Linked DNA regions of Ovis aries. The protein of the gene in region 4 interacts with the protein of the main gene of each other region in a pairwise test. Links are inferred from orthologs where the notes say so. Each region holds a gene or a part of one and is shown on either strand. Other genes may lie near its edges.

Region 1 (3,500 bases), on a different chromosome or scaffold from region 4:
CCCTCTAAGACCTGGAGGCGGCCGGTGCCGTGCTTCTGGAACACGTGTCCGGGTCCTCTACCGACACTCATGCGCACCGGAGGCGGCTCAGTCATGGGGCCCGGGGCAGAGGGGCGTCACCCGCGGCGTGGGGCCCAGACGTACTGGTTCAGCCGCAGGGCCTTGGCCGCCCTGGTCTCCGGGAATCCCATCTCCGTGAGCTGCCGCAGGGCCGCCTCATCCACGTGCTCGTCCTCGTCCTCGTCCAGCATGGCTGCGGGCCAGACGTGGCACCGTGAGGGCTCGGGGCATGCCCGGCCGCACAAGGGGTGCTTCCCCGAGCTCCCCGCGGGCCCAGCGCCCGCCTCAGCATCAGACTTTTGTGGCTGACCTCTTACACCTCAGAAAACCTGAGACAGACCCATCAGCTCTTGCCGTGCAGGCACGGGCGACAGTGTGAGGCGTCCACCAGGCCCCGTTTACTGCCTTTCCGTGGGGAGTGTGAACAGTGGCGGCCACGGGTGGGCCTCCGCCCGGGCCCGCTCCTACCGTTTGCCTTCCTAAATAATTCCACGGCATCCGGGTTCAGCGCCAGCAACTTCTGAGCCACCTCGATGAGAGACACCAGGATTTTCCGGAGCTCCGTCTGGAACTGCGGTGAAAGCACAAGATGCTCAACAAAGCTGCCTGGATCCGAGACAACACCCCTGGCCTGAAACTCCCAATCTGTGCGTCAAGTCACGCCCAGAAAACTGGGCAGAAGAGTAACAGGGCTCTCAGCAGGGCGGGCGGGAGAGGACCCGTCGCTCAGCTCCAGCCCAGAGGAGGCGTCTGGCCCAATGGCTGCTAAGCGAGCTGAGAGCTTAGGCTTCACTGAACAAAACAGGCGGATTCCATGGGTTCCACTGATGTGGGCCTCTAGCATTCAGTGCAACCAGTTCAAGTTCATCTTCTCAACACAGTGGGGGTCTGCTGGCAATGTCATCAGAAACCCACCAATTTCCAGTCTCCCCGACACTGAGGCTCAGCCATAGTGAGAGACACACGCGCTGGCCAGCGAGAGATACATGTGCCCGGGTTCCAATGCCCTGGCGAACATAGAACTCTCTGGAGGAGACCCTCAGAGGAGTGTTCCTGAACTGACCAGCTTGTGGCAGAGCCTGCAGACTGATCCGCAGTGTTGGGGGCACCACCCCCGACTCCTGCCCAGCGGGCACCGAGTCCTGGCCCGGCCCTGGCTTGGGAGCACTGGAAATGCTCTGCTTTAACTCAGAACCTTCCGATCCAAAATAAGCAAGAGTCAGATTTCTCTCTAAAAGGTTTTTGCCAAACTCAGAAAATTCACATTTCCCCAGAGTATCGAATCCTATTGGCCCTGCCTTTCAACGTCTTCTTAAACCCTTTATCTTGAATTAATCTGCCTACAAAAAAGCTTCAATATAGCGCAGAGTTCCTGCACCCCCTACACCCTGCTTCCCAAGTGCTCTCAGGAGGTCTCCTCGGCCCCCTGTGGCCACAAAGCCCCCGCGGGCACTCACGTCCCTCGCGCTGGTCTGCACCACGGCCCGGTCCATGTTGTGGGAAGGCAGGCTGGCGGTGGCTCGGAAGATAGCGTCTCTGTCCGGGGCTCTCTGCTCTTGTTTATTCTAACACGGGAGAGGAATCGGAAGGTCAGACGTGAGTGTAAGAGCAGCGGAAGGCAAGACTGGTCTCTGACAAACAGCCCTAACCAGGGAGCACGCGCGTCCTGGGGGCTGCAGCCACACGCCCTGACGAGCAGGGAGGCTTCTGGACGGTTCTGTGCGTGGCCTCAGGGACAGAACACTGGGCGGGCGTGGCCTGCTGGCCCCGGAGTGCGGCGGCACCGGGTGGGGAAGACAGACACTGCCTCCTAGGTCACCGAATGATCACCGCCCGGGAGCAACGGTTGGGCGGGCGGGCAGACCGCAGAGGGGCCGTGGAGAGTCCCTGGGCGCGGCCTGAGAAGCCCTGAGCCCAGGGGGAGAGGCACTATGCTGACCCCGGACGGCAGGCCCAGCCCCACGCCACTTGGCTCCTGGGGTGTTGGGCAGGAGAATGCAGGTGCAGGCGGGGGGCACGACCCACCAGGCCCAGAGCGGCCAGTGAGCTCCCAGGGCCTCTGACAGGGACGTGAAGAAAGTCTGCAACGAGCGCGACAGAGACAGAAGTGGGGCAAGGGGGTTGAAGGAGAGAGACGCGCAGAGAAGAGAAGGACGGGCCTGGAAAGCAGAGAGCGAGGCTGCGCAGTGCAGACAGGCAGGAGAGCAGGGGACGCTGTGCCAGTCATCGCAGAACAAGCATCTCTCAGAAAGCAGGTCCCCCCCCACGGGAGGGCCAGAGAGAGAAAAGGGAAAATGAGGCGGGGAAAGTACCAACAAGTACCCAGAGAACTTCCAGAATCTCCAGGGGCAACGTGCGAGCAGCCTGGGAGGGGCACAGACCAGGCACAGAGGAAGGAGAGTGGGGCAGACTGGCTCCACCGCCAGCCCTGGAGACGCCTTAGGGACACCCTGGGGACCGGGGCACAGGCCCATCGAGCGTGCACGCTCCCTCAGCAGCCACTGACGGCTGCACACAGGGCCTCCAGGCCTCCGCCTCTCAGAGATGCTGGTGGGAGTCTGGCCCCACCCAACCCAGGAGAACCAGACGTTTGACTCTAGCAGGCACAAGGGCACGACGGCCCCAAGACGGGCTCCTGCACTCATGGCCGCCTGGCCCGGGGCCCGTGAGCAGGTGGGCTGCAGCTGGGGGCCAGGTCACGGCACAGGGCATAGTGACTGGAGGACAGGGTCGGGGTTGGGGGGGGGCCCTGACCTAATCGGGCGAGTCCGTAAACAGGACGGGCGGGGCTCACCGTGGTCATCGAGATTAAAGCAAGAGGGACCCGACGCGTGAGCTACCCCACTGGCTGCTCTGAAGACGTGGGGAACTGCAGGCCAGGAAGGAGGTGACCTTCGGCAGTGGAGGGTGGTCCTGCCTCACAGCCAGCAAGAAAATGGGACCCCAGCTCTTCAAAGTGCCAGAACAGGATTCTGCCGAACACCCGAAAAAGCCGGAAGCAGAGGCTCCCAACAGGAAGGCAGACCCGATTCCAGCTCCCGAGCGCAGGGCCCAGCTGGGCCTGCCCGGCACGGACCCGGCAACCTGTGTGCTAACGGGGCTGCTCCGAGCCGGCAGGCCTGAGGTCAGGGAGTGTGCAGACAGGGGAGCCGCAGCAGGAGCCGCACGGAGGCAGGCGGTCAGCCCCGCGCAGCATGCCTGACGCAGATGGACGGGCCGGAGGAGCTGAGGGGTGGCTCCTGGAGCAGCGCCAGCAGATGGCCTCACTTGTGACCCCGGTTTCAGACAAGTGTATCAGTTTGGGAGCAGAATCTGAAAAAATGAGTGCTAAGCCGACACAGAGAGCAAACAAAACGAGGAAGGAATTACTGGCTCCCGGGAAAACAAATCTGCACGCAAAAAAAAGGAGAGCTCGCCTTCAGCAACCTGCTCAGGGCAGA
Region 2 (3,500 bases), on a different chromosome or scaffold from region 4:
CTGTGCTTCAGAATCCCCCTCCATAATTCAGCTTCTCCCAGGACGAGTCTTCAGTCTCAGGCAGCCTGTTCTCTTGAGGTAGTAAAGGGAAACACCAACTGCCCCAGATTTCCTCCCATCAGCTCTGCAACAAGCAGAAATGAGGTTCCTCCACCCCAACTGTTTAGAAACTCTCCCGAGGCAGCCTCTGATTGGCCATCTCGAGTCACATGATCATCCGAGAGGCACTCGCCATTGCCAGGTGAATGGAAATCCCTGATTGGCCTCACCGGGGTCATGTGACTGCCTCTGAAGCCAGAACTGGGGTTAACTGGCGCCCAGGCCATAGAGGAGGAGACTGGAGTTGCCTGGAGTCCCCTCCAGGGATCATAGGAGGAAGAGAGTCTTGGTGAAGGGTACTCAGAGGTTCCCAGGAAGGTGGGGGCTGACGGTGAAACCACACGGAGCCCCAGAAAACCTGGTAAGGGATGGATTTCCTGTCTCTAGGACAACCCCTTCCGTCAGAGGATCGCCCAGGTCTTCTCCGAGGATGGGGATGGCCACATGACCTTGGACAACTTCCTGGACATGTTTTCTGTGATGAGTGAAATGGCTCCCCGTGACCTCAAAGCCTACTACGCTTTTAAAATTTACGGTGTGTGCGCAGACCCCAGGGTGGGGAAGTGGGAACGAACCCAGGTCTTGGGTCAGGGACTGCATGGCCATCGCCTATGCCTCACCAAGGGCTCTGAGGCCCTGCCTGGCCCTGTCCTTCACCCCACCTTGGTACCTCCCCCTCCACTCTATCCCTCTGGTAATTCCATCCAGCTACACTGGCCTGGCTGTCTCCCCAACACATCAAACCCTTTCTGCCTCTGGGCCTTTGCCTCTGCTGTGCCTTTTGTCTAGAATACCTTTCCGCTAGTTCCTTCTTACCTTGATATTTCGGTCCAGAGTAGTCCCTGCCTCACTGCCCATGCCACATGCAATTTCTCTCCTAGCATGGAGCAGTGCTGCTTAACTTCTTGTTCATTCGTCTGTTCACATCTTGTTGATTTTCTCTCTGAAGAGACCCAAGAGCAGTGACAGTGTTTGGTTTGCCATCTGTCTCTGGCACACAGTAGGTATTCAGTAAATATTTGTTGAATGAATGAATGAAAACTTACCACAGTGCCTGGCACAAAGTAGGCACTCAATAAATACTTATTGAAAGAGGGAATGTATGAAAAAAATTATCAGTTGCTTGACATGTAGTAGTGTTAGTCTCTTAGTTGTGTCCAGCTCTTTGCGACCCCATGGACTGCAGCTTGCCAGAGTCCTCTGTCCATGGGATGCTCCAGGCAAGAATACTGGAGTGGGTAGCTATTCTCTCCAGGAGATATTCCCCACCTGGGGATTGAACCTGAGTCTCCTGCGTTGCAGGAAGATTCTGTACCATCTAGGCCCCCAGAGATTGACACATAGTAAGTGCTCATTAATACTTGAGTGAGTGAATGACCTCCCAGCAGTTACCTACCCAATTCCAAAGCAAGATCTGGCTGTTAGCCCAGGGTCTTGGGTTCCCTCCACTGCCTCAGTTTCTTCCTTTGTCACATGGGGACAAGATGTATTCACCACTGGCCCAGCCTGCCTGGTCCCTGTTGTCTGGTCACCCCCATGTCCCCACTTGTCCTGCTTTGCAGACTTTAACAATGATGACTACATCTGTGCGTGGGACCTGGAGCAGACGGTGACTAAGCTGACTCGGGGGGAGCTGAGCACTGAGGAGGTGAGCCTGATATGTGAGAAGGTGCTGGATGAAGCCGATGGGGACCACGATGGGCGGCTGTCCCTGGAAGACTTCCAGAACATGATCCTTCGGGCACCAGACTTCCTCAGGTGATATTCCTCTCCACTCTGCACAATCCATTCCCATGTATGAAAGGAGCGCTCACAGATTAGATCCACAGACTCTGAAATTTCCTCCATTTTTTCATTTGTGACCTTGGGGAACTTTCCTGACCTCCCTGGCCTCAGGCTGTGTCTTTTGAATGGGGCTAATTAGAGACCCTGGGGACACCTCTTGGGGGTGGACACGCTCTTTGGGTGAGTAGAACATGGTTGGAACTTCAGCCCTCACTTGCCTTAACATTTTGCAGTGAACAGACTGGACAACTGTACTTGGCAACCCTAGGGAGAATCAGCGCTCTAGGGAGGATTGTTGTTGTTCAGTCGCTCGATCGTGTCCGACTCTTTTGCAACCCCATGGACTGTAGTCTGCCAGTCCAAGGGATTTTCCCGGCAAGAATACTGGAGTGGGTTGCCATTTCCTTCTCCAGGGGATCCAGCATAGATTAAATGAGTTAATAAAGGGGGTGGGTGGGAATACATAGAAGATGTTTTTATATCTCCCATGAGCTTGGAATGGTTTTTACATTTTTAAATGATTGGGGGAAAAAAAACATACTCCACAACACATGAAAGTGATATAAAACTCAGATTTCCATGTCCGTTGCTGGTTTTATTGGCATACAGCCATGCCTATTTGTGTTCACAGTGTCCACAGCTGCTTTTGAGCTTTAAGGTGACATTGAGTCATTGTGCAAAGTTGTAAATATCAATCATTTGGCCCTTGGCAGAAGGAAGTTTGACTGACCTTGAGCTAGTACATGGAAAGAATTTAGAGCAGTTCCTTGCACACAGTAGGTGCTCAATAACTGTGCGCTATTGTTACTGTTGTGGCTTTCATGCCCAGAGGACCTCCTTCCTCTACCCCGGATAAGCAAGGCTGGTCTCGTGGCCACTGAGACATGAATAATGACATCACGATGAGTCCCTTGCCACTGACTGAGTACCCGATGTGTGTCCTGCTCTGTGTATTTGCCTCTTTTTAGCCCTCATTACTGTCTGAGCCACCAAGCTTCCCTAGAGGCTCGGATGTTAAAGAATCTGCCTGCAATGCAGGAGACCTGGATTTGATCCTTGGATGGGGAAGATACCCTGGAGAAGGGAATGGTTACCCACTCCAGTATTCTTGCCTAGAGAATTCCATGGCCAGGGGAGCCTGGGCGGCTACAACCCATGGGGTCGCAAAGAGTTGGAAATGACTGAGCGATGAACACTTTCCATTCTTTCCATTCTTCCAACACTTTCCACTCGTTGCAGTTCAGTTAAAGAGGGATAGCTGTTACCCCCATTTTGTCGTTCAGTCTCTCAGTTGTGTCTGACTCTCTGCGACTCCATGGATTGCAGCATGCCAGGCTTCCCTGTAATTCACCATCTCCCGGAGGTTGCCCAGACTCATATCCATTGAGCCTGTGATGCCATCCAACCATCTCGTCCTCTGTCTTCCTCTTCTCCTCCTGCCTTCAATCTTTCCCAGCAACAGGGTCTTTTCCAGTGAGTCAGCTCTTCGCATCAAGTGGCCAAAGTATTGGAGCTTCAGTTTCAGCATCAGTCCTTCCAATGAATATTCAGGACTGATTTCCTTTAGGATGGACTGGTTTGATCTCCCTGGTATTCAAGGGACTCTTCAAGAGTCT
Region 3 (3,500 bases), on a different chromosome or scaffold from region 4:
CAGCAAACTGTCTGCCCAGATGGGATAAAACTACACATACATTTAACTATAATTTTTGAAGCCTTTACAACTAACAAATCACAAACCACTGAGGATTATAAAAATAATTTCCAACAGGATATACTTTCCCTAGACCTGCACTTTTACTATTCTTTTTCTAAACATATATAAGACAGGAGAAAAAAGCAACTGCCTTTATTTTTATGTTTGGGGAAATAAATCTATCTGTAGAAAATAGGAGAAAATAGGAAAAAAAACAAAAACCCCGTAAGAAGGCGATAGTGGGAAATGTACCAGAAAACAGATAATCACATTAAATGTAAATGAGGTAAATTTTTGAAATGAAGATCCATTATGGAGAACCTCTCATACCAAATATTGTAGTTTTCCATTTCCTGGACACTGGGGATGTTGAATTGCAGTTAGATGAGTATACCCTAAGGGACTAATGTGCATAAAAGTCATAGGCAAGTTACAGCTGCCGCCAAGAGCAAAGTATACAATGCTTGATCCTTAGTAACTTCTGAGTTCTCTCTCTCATTTGTCAAACCACAGGACAATTAAATATACCCTGATAATACAGGCAAATAGTAAACTGGGTAGAGGTGTTTGATATTTAAAATAATGCAAATATTACTAACATTACCAAGCCACCCTCCACTAAACAAAAAAAAAAAAATAATTCTAAACAACAATGGAACAAAAACTGTCCACATTTTCACACAATTCCAACCTTACCTCAAAATATAAAGAAAAGTACATGGTTTTAGCTATTTAAAATAAATAAAGAAAATCTTGTTTCCTTTGGCATCTTTAGAAAGTAACTAAATTACAATTAAAGAAGGTGATTGTATAAAGAAATTTATACTTAGGCAAACAAAGGGGAAAAAACAGCAACTTGTGTTTAGTATGCAATAAAATCAACTACAAGAGTTTTACTACTAATTAGGAAAACCTTATGTTTCTGGAAGAACCTTCACATCTTAACATTACAATATATTTAATAATGGTTCTTTTTATTGCTTCTAAGATTATTGAGAAGTCAAATGAAATTATGCTGAATTTACTGTTCAAAACTATTTTCCAAACACTTAACCATTATAATTTAGGATAAATAACACTTGAAGAAAGCAAAAACCTTTTATAATATGACTTTCCATATACAGCCTTACTTTAATTCATTCAGATTTCATTACATTTTTGTTATTTTTGCATTGGTCCTGAATATTTAATAAGAACTGTGTTTCTATGTATAGAACTGCCTACACAAATCCATTTCACCCTTCATAAAATGTTCACATTAGTGTTAGAGCTTGCAAAACTAATAATTTTCAAACTTTAAACTTGGAGTGAAGTTTAACTTTAATACGTATAGAAAGTCTGACTATGTACAAGAGAAGGTAAAGTTTTCAATTCTCATATTATCAGAAACATCATAAAGAAAGCTAGATTTATAACACACTTCTATTCCTATGTGCATCTGAAGTATGTACAGTAAAACACCAACACAGCTTTCATGTGTTAATAGGGGGAAGTGCAAGCAATCTCTATAAAGCCAAAATCAGGCTAAAAAACCTGCAAACAGTTGATTTCATCCTTGCAAGTTCTCAAAGAAAAAGTCCATCAGTTTAAAAATCAAAAGACGTTAAACTCACTGAAAAATTAAGCTGGGTTCTTTTCATTTAATCTGGGAATACTGCAACATCAAGTATTTACTGTTTTTACAAAAAAAAAAAAAAAAAGAAAATTGGCAGCTCCATTTTTACAGTATTTATATAGGAAAGTTTTAAGAGTGGAGAATTGTGACAAAACATTCCAAATGGATGACCTAAAATGGAGCAAGGGATACTGTCCTTCAGCACATTTCCCCACCAAATATAAAGAAATTTATTATTAGAATATTAGCTGTGTGTGGAAAGAGGGGAAAAACAGATATGTTGTCCCAGTCTGTTGACAAGGACAAAAAGGCTCTGACTAGGTCACCATCTTCATTTCTGGATAAATCTCATATTGAAGAATTCTCAAATGCTTAAAATGGTGGTCTTTTCAGCTACCCATCCTAAGAAGTCAAGTACAAGCATGCAAGTAAATTCACAGGCACAGAGGATCCATGTTAAAAACAGTTAAGGTAGCTGTGATGCAACACCAACAATTTGAATGGCCCTGACACACTCAAAATATTATCTTAATTATTCAACGAAATCCTGAAGCAAACTCTTGCTAGTCTTGGTATACTGCTAAACACTAAAGTAGCATGTTTTTTCCATGGTTTTAGCTTAGCTCAAAAGAATTTTTACACTATTAAGTAAGAAAAAAATTAAAGTATTTCCCCTTTTTAAATTTACACAGACGTTTAATTAGCTTTATTTACAGAGCAGGGATTTTTTTCAGTCTCCAATGGTGCCTAGATAACATCATTAGGCAAGAATGCCAGTTTAAAAGAAATCTATGCAGAATCCTAAAAATAACAGATGTTGATGCTCCTCCAAGAAGGGGCAAGCTTGACTATATCAGCATCTCTCTTTATGTTTCAGTTACTCAGAAGCAATTCTGTTGCAGTCTCTACATCCCATGATTTTGAAGACAAGGCCACTATTACCGCATTCTGTAGAAAAGAAAAGGGGACAAAATAAAGTCTCAAGGAAATATTTTAAAAATACGGTATCACTCAGTCTTTATATTAAAGAAACCACACCTTGTTTTTTCATTTTTAAGTTACCCTGCACTTGTAGTGCATTAAAAACTCTAAAACCAATGGCTAGAGCTTCTTTGGTGGCTCAGAAGTAAAGAATCCGCCTGCCAATGCAGAAGACACAGGTTTGATTCCTGGTCGGGGAAGATCCCACATGCAGTGAAGCAATTGAGCCCACGTGCCACCATTACTGAACCTGTGCTCTAGAACTCAGGAGTCACAACGACATGTGCCGCAACAAGAGAAGCCATCACAATAAGCAGCCCGCATGCCACAACTAGGGAGTGGCCCCAGCTCGCCATAACTAGAGCAAAAGCCCAAGCAACAGTGGAGACCCAGCACAGCCAAAAATAAGCAAATAAAATTATTTTTTAAAATAAAAAATCAATGACTGGAACCAGCCAAAGTTTAAAAAAAAAAATTACTAGTTTTAATAACAAAGTTTGCTTATCAAAATTAGATTCAGAGTACCACTGAACCACTTTTGTCAGCCAAGGATTTGCAACAATAATTTAACAAATAAATAAAAATCAACATGCCTGTATGTACTTACCCTATCAAAGCCCATAGCACATAGGTTTTCTATTTTTTTGGTGTACTCTGGACTAGAAACTGGTGCTCCAGCATACACATGTGCCCAAAGTCGAGCTGTCTGTTTGAACATTTCAGGATTTTGTTTGTACTATATGGAGGAAAAATTGTTTGATATGACAATGCAGTTATAGTATTCAAAATAGGAACTCATCTCTTAATTGCCTAAAAACCTGATTTTTCTAAATAAATATAGATTAGATTTTTTAAATGTGAC
Region 4 (4,037 bases):
TTTCTATCACAGGCTGGAGCCAGGAGTGTCTGACTCAGCTGTTTCCTTTCACCCCCGTGTTATTTGGTTCCTCTGCTGTGTGTCATTCCTCCCAGGGTCCAGTACCACACAGCACAGGCCCACCGTGGTGTGGCAGGGCCAGGCCCAAGGGCCCCCAGCCCCACAGCTGGCCCTCCCTGGCACTTGGCTCGCTGGACAAGGCTGCTGTTCTTTGGCGCTCTCGTTCATTTAAAGGAAGTGGTTCTTGGCTTTCTTTCCCAGCCACCAATTACATTCCCACAGGAGGTCACATTTTGGTTGTGGTGATGGATTCTTGAAAAACTGTAAATTTGAAAATGCCAACTCTATTCCACAGAAACTCCTCACTTCATAACACAAGGTGATGTGCTGTGTACCTTCACATTTCAGGTCACTAATAAGCTGTGTGACTTTGGGCCAGTTACTTAACCTCTCTGTGCCCCAGTTTCTTTCTTCATAAAATGAGAATTGTACTTCAAAGGGATTAGGGAGGACTGAGTGAGAAAATGCACAAAAAGGCCTGGCGCATAGTACGTGCTCAACAAACGATAGGTACTATTTCTGTTAGACTTTGTCATCGTCATAGTATTTCATCCACACAGGCTTGTTTCTTTGGTTTCATAATAGCCCTCAGTATTGAAAAGCTCTAGAAGGGTTCCCTGATGGCTCAGATGATAACAAATCTGCCTGCAATGCAGGAGACTCAGGTTTGATCCCTGGGCCGGCAAGATCCCCTGGAGAAGGGAATGGCTACCCAGTCCAGTATTCTTGCCTGGAGAATTCCAGAGGAGCCTGGCGGGCTACAGTCTATGGGGCTGCAAAGAGTCAGACACGACTGAGTGACTAACACACATACACAGAGGAATACTACTCTATATTGTAAATCTTCTATTTTTATCATGAGCATAAATTCTGTACCTAAAAATGATGCTGTGTCTGAGATTTCCAGAGCCTGGAGTGCCCACCATTCTGATAAAAGAAGGCAGGCAGAGGCTGCCCTTGTTTACGTGGAATCTCCTGGAATTCACCCCGGCTCTCACCACCTCCTCCTGGTTCTACCTCTCTGACCATCCCCTGGGGGTGCTTGTGGGGTAGAAACAGGAGAGTACGATGACCTGAAGGAAGCCAGGATTTGGGAGGCCTGAGGCAAGAGGACAGGGTGATTCACACCTGTGAGCCCCATATCTCTAGGGCAGCACTGGCAGGGCCAGAAGCTCTGTTCCTGGACCAGAGCACCCATGGGGCAACTCGCCCCCTTGCTCAGGCACCCAGACCAGGGAAGGAGAGCCTGGCCGCAGTTGGAAATCACCAGGTGTCTTCATACACTGCGCTGAAACACTCATGATGCTTTGGGTCAACTTCATTTAAAAAAAAACTTTGCATCTGATTTAAGTCTTCCAGGAGCCCTACATCATGTTGGCTTTAAACATGCTGTGTCTGGATAATAAGTACTGAGGCCGGGGATTAGGTGAGGTGGGGAGATTTATAAAGCACTAGATGCATTAAAGCCCCATAATTCACCCTTTGTTTTGTCTAAAACTTGAGCCATACCCCTCCCCTTTTAAGGCTCCTGTCCATATCAAGCAGAGACTGGGTTCACTGACTTTGCACCGTGAGGCTCCTGTGAAAGGCAAAGAGACAAAAGCCTCCCATCAAAGCTGCCATAGTGAGTTTCTATTCAGCAGGAGGCGGGAATTCTTAAAGCAATTCCCAAGGCTTTAGACAGGCCCAGCCCCTCGTCCCTGCCTGCAGCCCAGTAACTGCGCACCTCCTCCCTGCTTGCCCCTTGTGGCCCTCTGCCCCAGGCGAGGTGCCTTACTCTGCCTAAGCGGGGGGCGGGGGGCATCCACGATGCTGCAATCCGGGACCAGAGGCGGATGCCTGAACGGTTCTCCGCCCTCCTTCACTCACGCGCAGAAACCAGACAGAACCCCAGGAGGGCTGGCGCAGCCCTTTTCTGGGCTCGCTCCCGCCTCTCACGTGAGGTCTTCAGGGCCCCCGGGTTTCTTCCTCGGCTAGTCACGGACAAATGCTCTCATCGCCCCAGGCTTTCCCTCATTCCCGAGCCCCACTGCAGCCGGCCTTAGTACCCTCTGAACACTTTAATGGGGCAGTAAAAACTTTACAGCCTGCAGCTCTAAACCGTTCTCACGTTTCTGAATAAAACAATTTATGGCACACAAGATTACTACGGTTTGCCCTTTGAAAACCCCGCAGATTCTAGACGCATTCAAAAGAGGCTGACCGAGTTACACTGGCCGACAGCTGGCTTACAGAAATCCACAGCGGCAGAGCTAAATTCTGGCTGCGAACGGCTAAGTCAGAAGAGAAAACAGCCCTAGAGTCTCACGGCATCACCAGGCAGCCCCGCGCTTTGCCTCTTTCATGTGGCTTTGGTGTCAAACCCGCTTGCGTGCGTCTCTCCCTGGATTTTTGCCTCCCTTCTCGGTTCTTGCCTGGATCCACAGGGATCCCTATGAGCTTCGTCAGCAAATCCAGAGACCCAATCTGTTCCTTCCGTCTTGAGCAGGCAGAAAATTAAAACCAGGAAAAAGCTAGCAACTCGATCACTACTCGTTTCTCCAAAACAGTGCCCAGGAGCCGCCTGTGAGCCCAGAAAAGGCATCTCAGTGCCCTTAGAAGCGCCCTTACCGGTATTCCATATCCGCCTCTCCGGTGCATCAGAGACGGGCCCCTGCCTCCTTGGATGTGGGGCCTCGGCGCTCTGCAACCCACAGACAATCGGGCCCATTATAGTCATCAGGCCGCCGAGTTAAAGGGTGGCCCTTAGAAAAATATAAACAGCTTGTCAGCGCCAGCCAAGGGGGCGGGGCTGCAGCATCAGGGGACAATGGGCGCCAATGACCAGCCTCTCTGGGCTCTGTTGGCTGAGGATATCATGTTTCATTTTGAAGACGGGGAGACAGAGAGCAAGGAACGCCGAATAAGAAGGGCCAGCCCCGCAGCATGAAAGGGGTCTGAGCTGAAAAGTTTAATCACTGCCCGCAGAAGATGATTTTCAAGGAGGAGTTTGATGCCTCACACAAAATAATGCAAATTTTTAGAAGTCACAGACGTTCGTGTTGCATTAACCATCTCTGGTCTCCTGGGCTTAATAAATAGAGTATTCACTGGGGTAGAAAGGGCTTTTTCAATCAAACAACAAAGGAAAGGAACAAAGTCCAAGGAAGATGCTTTTATGATATGTTTTTGTTATTAAATAGAATATCAGATAAGTACTTACTACATTTACAGAAAAAATGCTTGATTTGATTGGTTTGTCTTCAGAACTCAGAGAAGTGGGCACATTTTATTCGCCAAATATATATGCCTCACGTTAAAAAAAAAAATGCTCACAATCTGATCATACCTGCACACAGAAAACAGGAGTTAATTCAGTGTATAGGGGGGAAGGCAAAGGCAATGGCTTTTTTCTCTCTTCTGAAATTAACTAAATCCTACTTGTAAAGCTACTAGGCCAGCTTAAACTGTCGAAACCCTATGATAATAACCAAGAACCCAAAAATAAACTGTGGCTTTTTAAAATAAAATTTCTAAATAATACACTGAAGTAAGAATAAGGTTAAGAGCTATTTGGCTGATTTGTGGTATTGTGTAAATTATAGGCATAAAATCTTTGAGAAAAGCACAGTCATTACAATTGAGACTAGTTCCCTTATTTATGAAGGAAGCACAACAGCTATCAAAATTGACTAGCAGAGAAACAGAAAAATATTGAAATATAAGCATTTCCACAAATTTTGTATCAGGCTTTTCTGATTTTGATTATAAAAAGAACAATCCAAAGATACTGTCCTTTCTGATCTATGGTAGTTTAAAAATATTTATGATTCTGCCACTGATATTTAACTTATATTAAAGTGAGACTCCTCCGGTGCGTGCATGCGTGCTAACTTGCTCAGTCCTGTCTGACTCTTGTGACCCCATGGACTGTAGACTGCCGTGCTCCTCTGTCCATGGGATTCTCCAGGCAAGAATACTGGAATGGACTGCCATTT
Region 5 (2,694 bases), on a different chromosome or scaffold from region 4:
TCTCGGCAGTCCACTCGTGGTTGAGGTTGAGCTGCTTCAGGCGGCTCTCGCTGACCTCAGAGAGGAAGACAGCAAAGCGCTTGGAGTACAGCGAGTCGTACTGGTCGATGAGGTGCAGCATAAAGGCGAAGTCGTTCTTGACGTCGGGGATGTCGCCCATGCCAGTTTCCTCCCGAACTGACCGGAAGGAGTACTCTTTGAGGGGCCGGTGGAAGAGCCAGTAGAGGGTGTAGAGACAGGTGATCCCGTAGACACACACGAAGGAGATATAGCAGAAAGCCAGCTTGGAGAAGAGGTGGGCTTTGGTGTGGTTGCAGCAGAAGCTGGCGTAGCCTGTCACCTCCGAGGTCTCCACCCTGCAGGCCACCAGGAAGCTGATCTTCCCCACATAGACCAGGTTGTAGACCAGGATGGCCAAGAACTTGCAGACCTTGAGCACCATCTGCCGGATGTACATGGTGTACAGGATGTCACCCTCCTCCACGTGCACACGGAATTTCTTGACCTTTTCAAACAGGGCTTTGGCCTGCTCCCCCTCCTTCTTGTCCAGCAGGGTGACAGCTGGGGGCTCTGTCACCACCTTCTCGGGCTCTGGCAACACCTTCTCCTTCTCGCCCTCCCCTGCCGTTGTGGTCAAGGTCACTGTCGCCTGCCCAGCTGTGGTGGCGGCAGGGCCCTTGTGGTTCTCCCCGGAGACCTCAGACAGTGCCCGAGTAGTCCATGGCGAGTCAAAACACTTGCCCAGGATGGAGATGAAGTGCTCGATCTTGGAGCTGGTGCCGGGGAACTTGAACCAGAAGCTGGTGCAGACCATGAAGATGAGCGTGTGGATGACAACCAAGTAGGGAAAGTACTTGGCATACCAGTGGAGGGCCGTCTCGTAGCAGAGCTGGTTGATGAAGCTGTACTGCTGTAGGTCCAGGTTGTTCTTGAGGCCGCTCAACTCCCGGAGGTCCCCCATGGGCTCTGAGACCCCCCGGGGCAGCAGCTGTTGGCACGGGGCTTCAGATAAATTCTCCCGGGGTTCATGACTGGGCAGACAGATTATCTTGTCCTGCGTCACCTGGGGATGGGGGCGAGGGTATGAAAGAGGGTGAAGGATCTGGGGTGGCCTGGGAAGTTACAGGGAGAGGAAGCAGGCTGCAAGCAGGAGAGGTCTGCCTTGATCCCCAGCTGTCCTCAGCTGGCTGTAACTTTGGAAGAGTCATTAAACCTTTGAATACGGGACTTTGTCTGGAAATAAAAGAGCTGGGTTGATTCGTGTTCCTCAAAAAGATGTTAAAGACCTAGGGAATTCCCTGCTGGCCCAGTGGCTAAGACTGGGCACTCTCAATGCAGGAGGCCTGGGTTTGATCCCTGGTCAGGGAACTAGATCCCACATGCCACACCTAAGGGTTCATGCTCCAACTTAAAAAAAAAATGAAGATCTCACAGGCTGCAAGTAAAAATGCCACATAAGGCAACTAAGAACTGGTGCAGGTAAATAAATATTAAACAAAAAAGATGTTGAAGTCCTAAGCCCCAAATACCTGACCTGTGATTGATGCCTTATCTGGAAATAGTGTTTGCAGAGCAGATGTAATCAAGTTAAGATGAGGGAGAAATTTGGGCACACACACACACTCACACTGAGGGAAGATGCTGTGAAGATACAGGGAGAGTGTCCTCTATCATCCAAGGAATGCCTGAGGCCACCAGAGTCTAGACGAGAGGCACAGCCTTCGCAAGGAACCAGCCCTGTCAACACTTTGATTTCGGATGTCCAGTCTCTAGAACTATGATAGGATAAGGGAAGACTTCCGGAATCTCCCAGACCCCGCCCCTGGGAAACCCCGCCCCATCCAGGCCACGCCCCGCCCCGCCCCGCCCCTTACCTGGAGGGTGCACCCGAAGACCCCGATCATGAGCATGGCCACGGTGAGGTACTCGGCCAGCACGTCCCACCAAGGTTTGAGCACCTTGAAGGCGGGCTGCTGCTCCGTGAACTGCTTGAACTCCGCCACCGGAATCATCCTTCCTATGAGGACAGCAGGAAGCTCAGGATAGGGCGCCTTGTGAGCCAGGCCCCCAGAAGAGCCAGCATCAACGCCTCTGCTCCCAGTATCCGCGCTCCGCCCCGCCGAACTCCGGCAGAACCCACGGCTGTGCGCTCCCTTCCCCTCCCCCGTCCCCTAGACCTCACCTCCTTCCTGGAGCCAAGCGACTAAGACTGAATGCTTGGCTTAAGGTGGTAAGTACTTACTGCTCGGTAAGTCCTCACCACCTCTGTTCCCAGGCACCCTTGCCCCGATGGGACTGGGCTTGACCACTCAGAGTTCAGAAGGGGCATTCCACGAGGCCGCTGCACCACCGCTCGTCGGTGTGGCCTTCTCCCCAAGCCCAGGCATCTCCTCCCACCCTTGACGCCGGTCCCAAACACTTCGCTCTGCTTCCTTGACTCCAGACACCCGGTACCCAGGCGGCTAGCCCCGGATCCCTCCGTCACTGGACCACAGAGTCCCGAGATTCGGGACTTCCGGGGCGTGGACCCCCACCCCCTTCAGGGGCGCTCTGGGCACCACCTCCAACCTCCAACCGGAAAAGCCGGCTGGAGCCTGGCTCTGGTTACCGGCCCCAGGGGCAGGGAGTGGCGGAGCTGAAGGCTTGTTGGCCCTGGGGGGTGGAGGGTGGCAGTGACGAAGACACCTGGGTTTC

Evidence for each region. The genes of interacting proteins can lie anywhere in the genome.
Region 1: the proteins of TRIM2 (region 4) and UBAC1 interact in binary tests that used the Homo sapiens proteins (3 or more experiments, as listed by UniProt). The link is inferred for Ovis aries from reciprocal best matches to the Homo sapiens genes TRIM2 and UBAC1.
Region 2: the proteins of TRIM2 (region 4) and CIB3 interact in binary tests that used the Homo sapiens proteins (3 or more experiments, as listed by UniProt). The two-hybrid records come from large-scale screens. The link is inferred for Ovis aries from reciprocal best matches to the Homo sapiens genes TRIM2 and CIB3.
Region 3: the proteins of TRIM2 (region 4) and UBE2K interact in binary tests that used the Homo sapiens proteins (3 or more experiments, as listed by UniProt). The link is inferred for Ovis aries from reciprocal best matches to the Homo sapiens genes TRIM2 and UBE2K.
Region 5: the proteins of TRIM2 (region 4) and LRRC8E interact in binary tests that used the Homo sapiens proteins (3 or more experiments, as listed by UniProt). The two-hybrid records come from large-scale screens. The link is inferred for Ovis aries from reciprocal best matches to the Homo sapiens genes TRIM2 and LRRC8E.

Annotation. Positions count from the first base shown.
Region 1 is NC_056056.1:3,458,687-3,462,186, reverse strand, and holds part of UBAC1 (ubiquitin-associated domain-containing protein 1), read right to left. Parts: intron 1,626-3,500; coding exon 1,518-1,625; intron 632-1,517; coding exon 529-631; intron 254-528; coding exon 145-253; intron 1-144.
Region 2 is NC_056058.1:6,629,666-6,633,165, forward strand, and holds part of CIB3 (calcium and integrin-binding family member 3), read left to right. Parts: intron 1-486; coding exon 487-634; intron 635-1,661; coding exon 1,662-1,857; intron 1,858-3,500. UniProt on the Homo sapiens protein: Acts a an auxiliary subunit of the sensory mechanoelectrical transduction (MET) channel in hair cells. Plays a role in regulating hair cell MET channel localization and function.
Region 3 is NC_056059.1:59,576,193-59,579,692, reverse strand, and holds part of UBE2K (ubiquitin-conjugating enzyme E2 K), read right to left. Parts: intron 3,375-3,500; coding exon 3,246-3,374; intron 2,606-3,245; coding exon 2,531-2,605; 3' UTR 1-2,530. UniProt on the Homo sapiens protein: Accepts ubiquitin from the E1 complex and catalyzes its covalent attachment to other proteins. In vitro, in the presence or in the absence of BRCA1-BARD1 E3 ubiquitin-protein ligase complex, catalyzes the synthesis of 'Lys-48'-linked polyubiquitin chains.
Region 4 is NC_056070.1:4,654,207-4,658,243, forward strand, and holds the start of TRIM2 (tripartite motif-containing protein 2), read right to left. Parts: upstream 2,801-4,037; 5' UTR 2,701-2,800; coding exon 2,671-2,700; intron 1-2,670. UniProt on the Homo sapiens protein: UBE2D1-dependent E3 ubiquitin-protein ligase that mediates the ubiquitination of NEFL and of phosphorylated BCL2L11. Plays a neuroprotective function. May play a role in neuronal rapid ischemic tolerance.
Region 5 is NC_056058.1:14,391,051-14,393,744, reverse strand, and holds part of LRRC8E (volume-regulated anion channel subunit LRRC8E), read right to left. Parts: intron 2,518-2,694; exon of another isoform or gene 2,018-2,517; 5' UTR 2,013-2,017; coding exon 1,875-2,012; exon of another isoform or gene 1,866-1,874; intron 1,776-1,865; exon of another isoform or gene 1,628-1,775; intron 1,064-1,627; coding exon 1-1,063. UniProt on the Homo sapiens protein: Non-essential component of the volume-regulated anion channel (VRAC, also named VSOAC channel), an anion channel required to maintain a constant cell volume in response to extracellular or intracellular osmotic changes.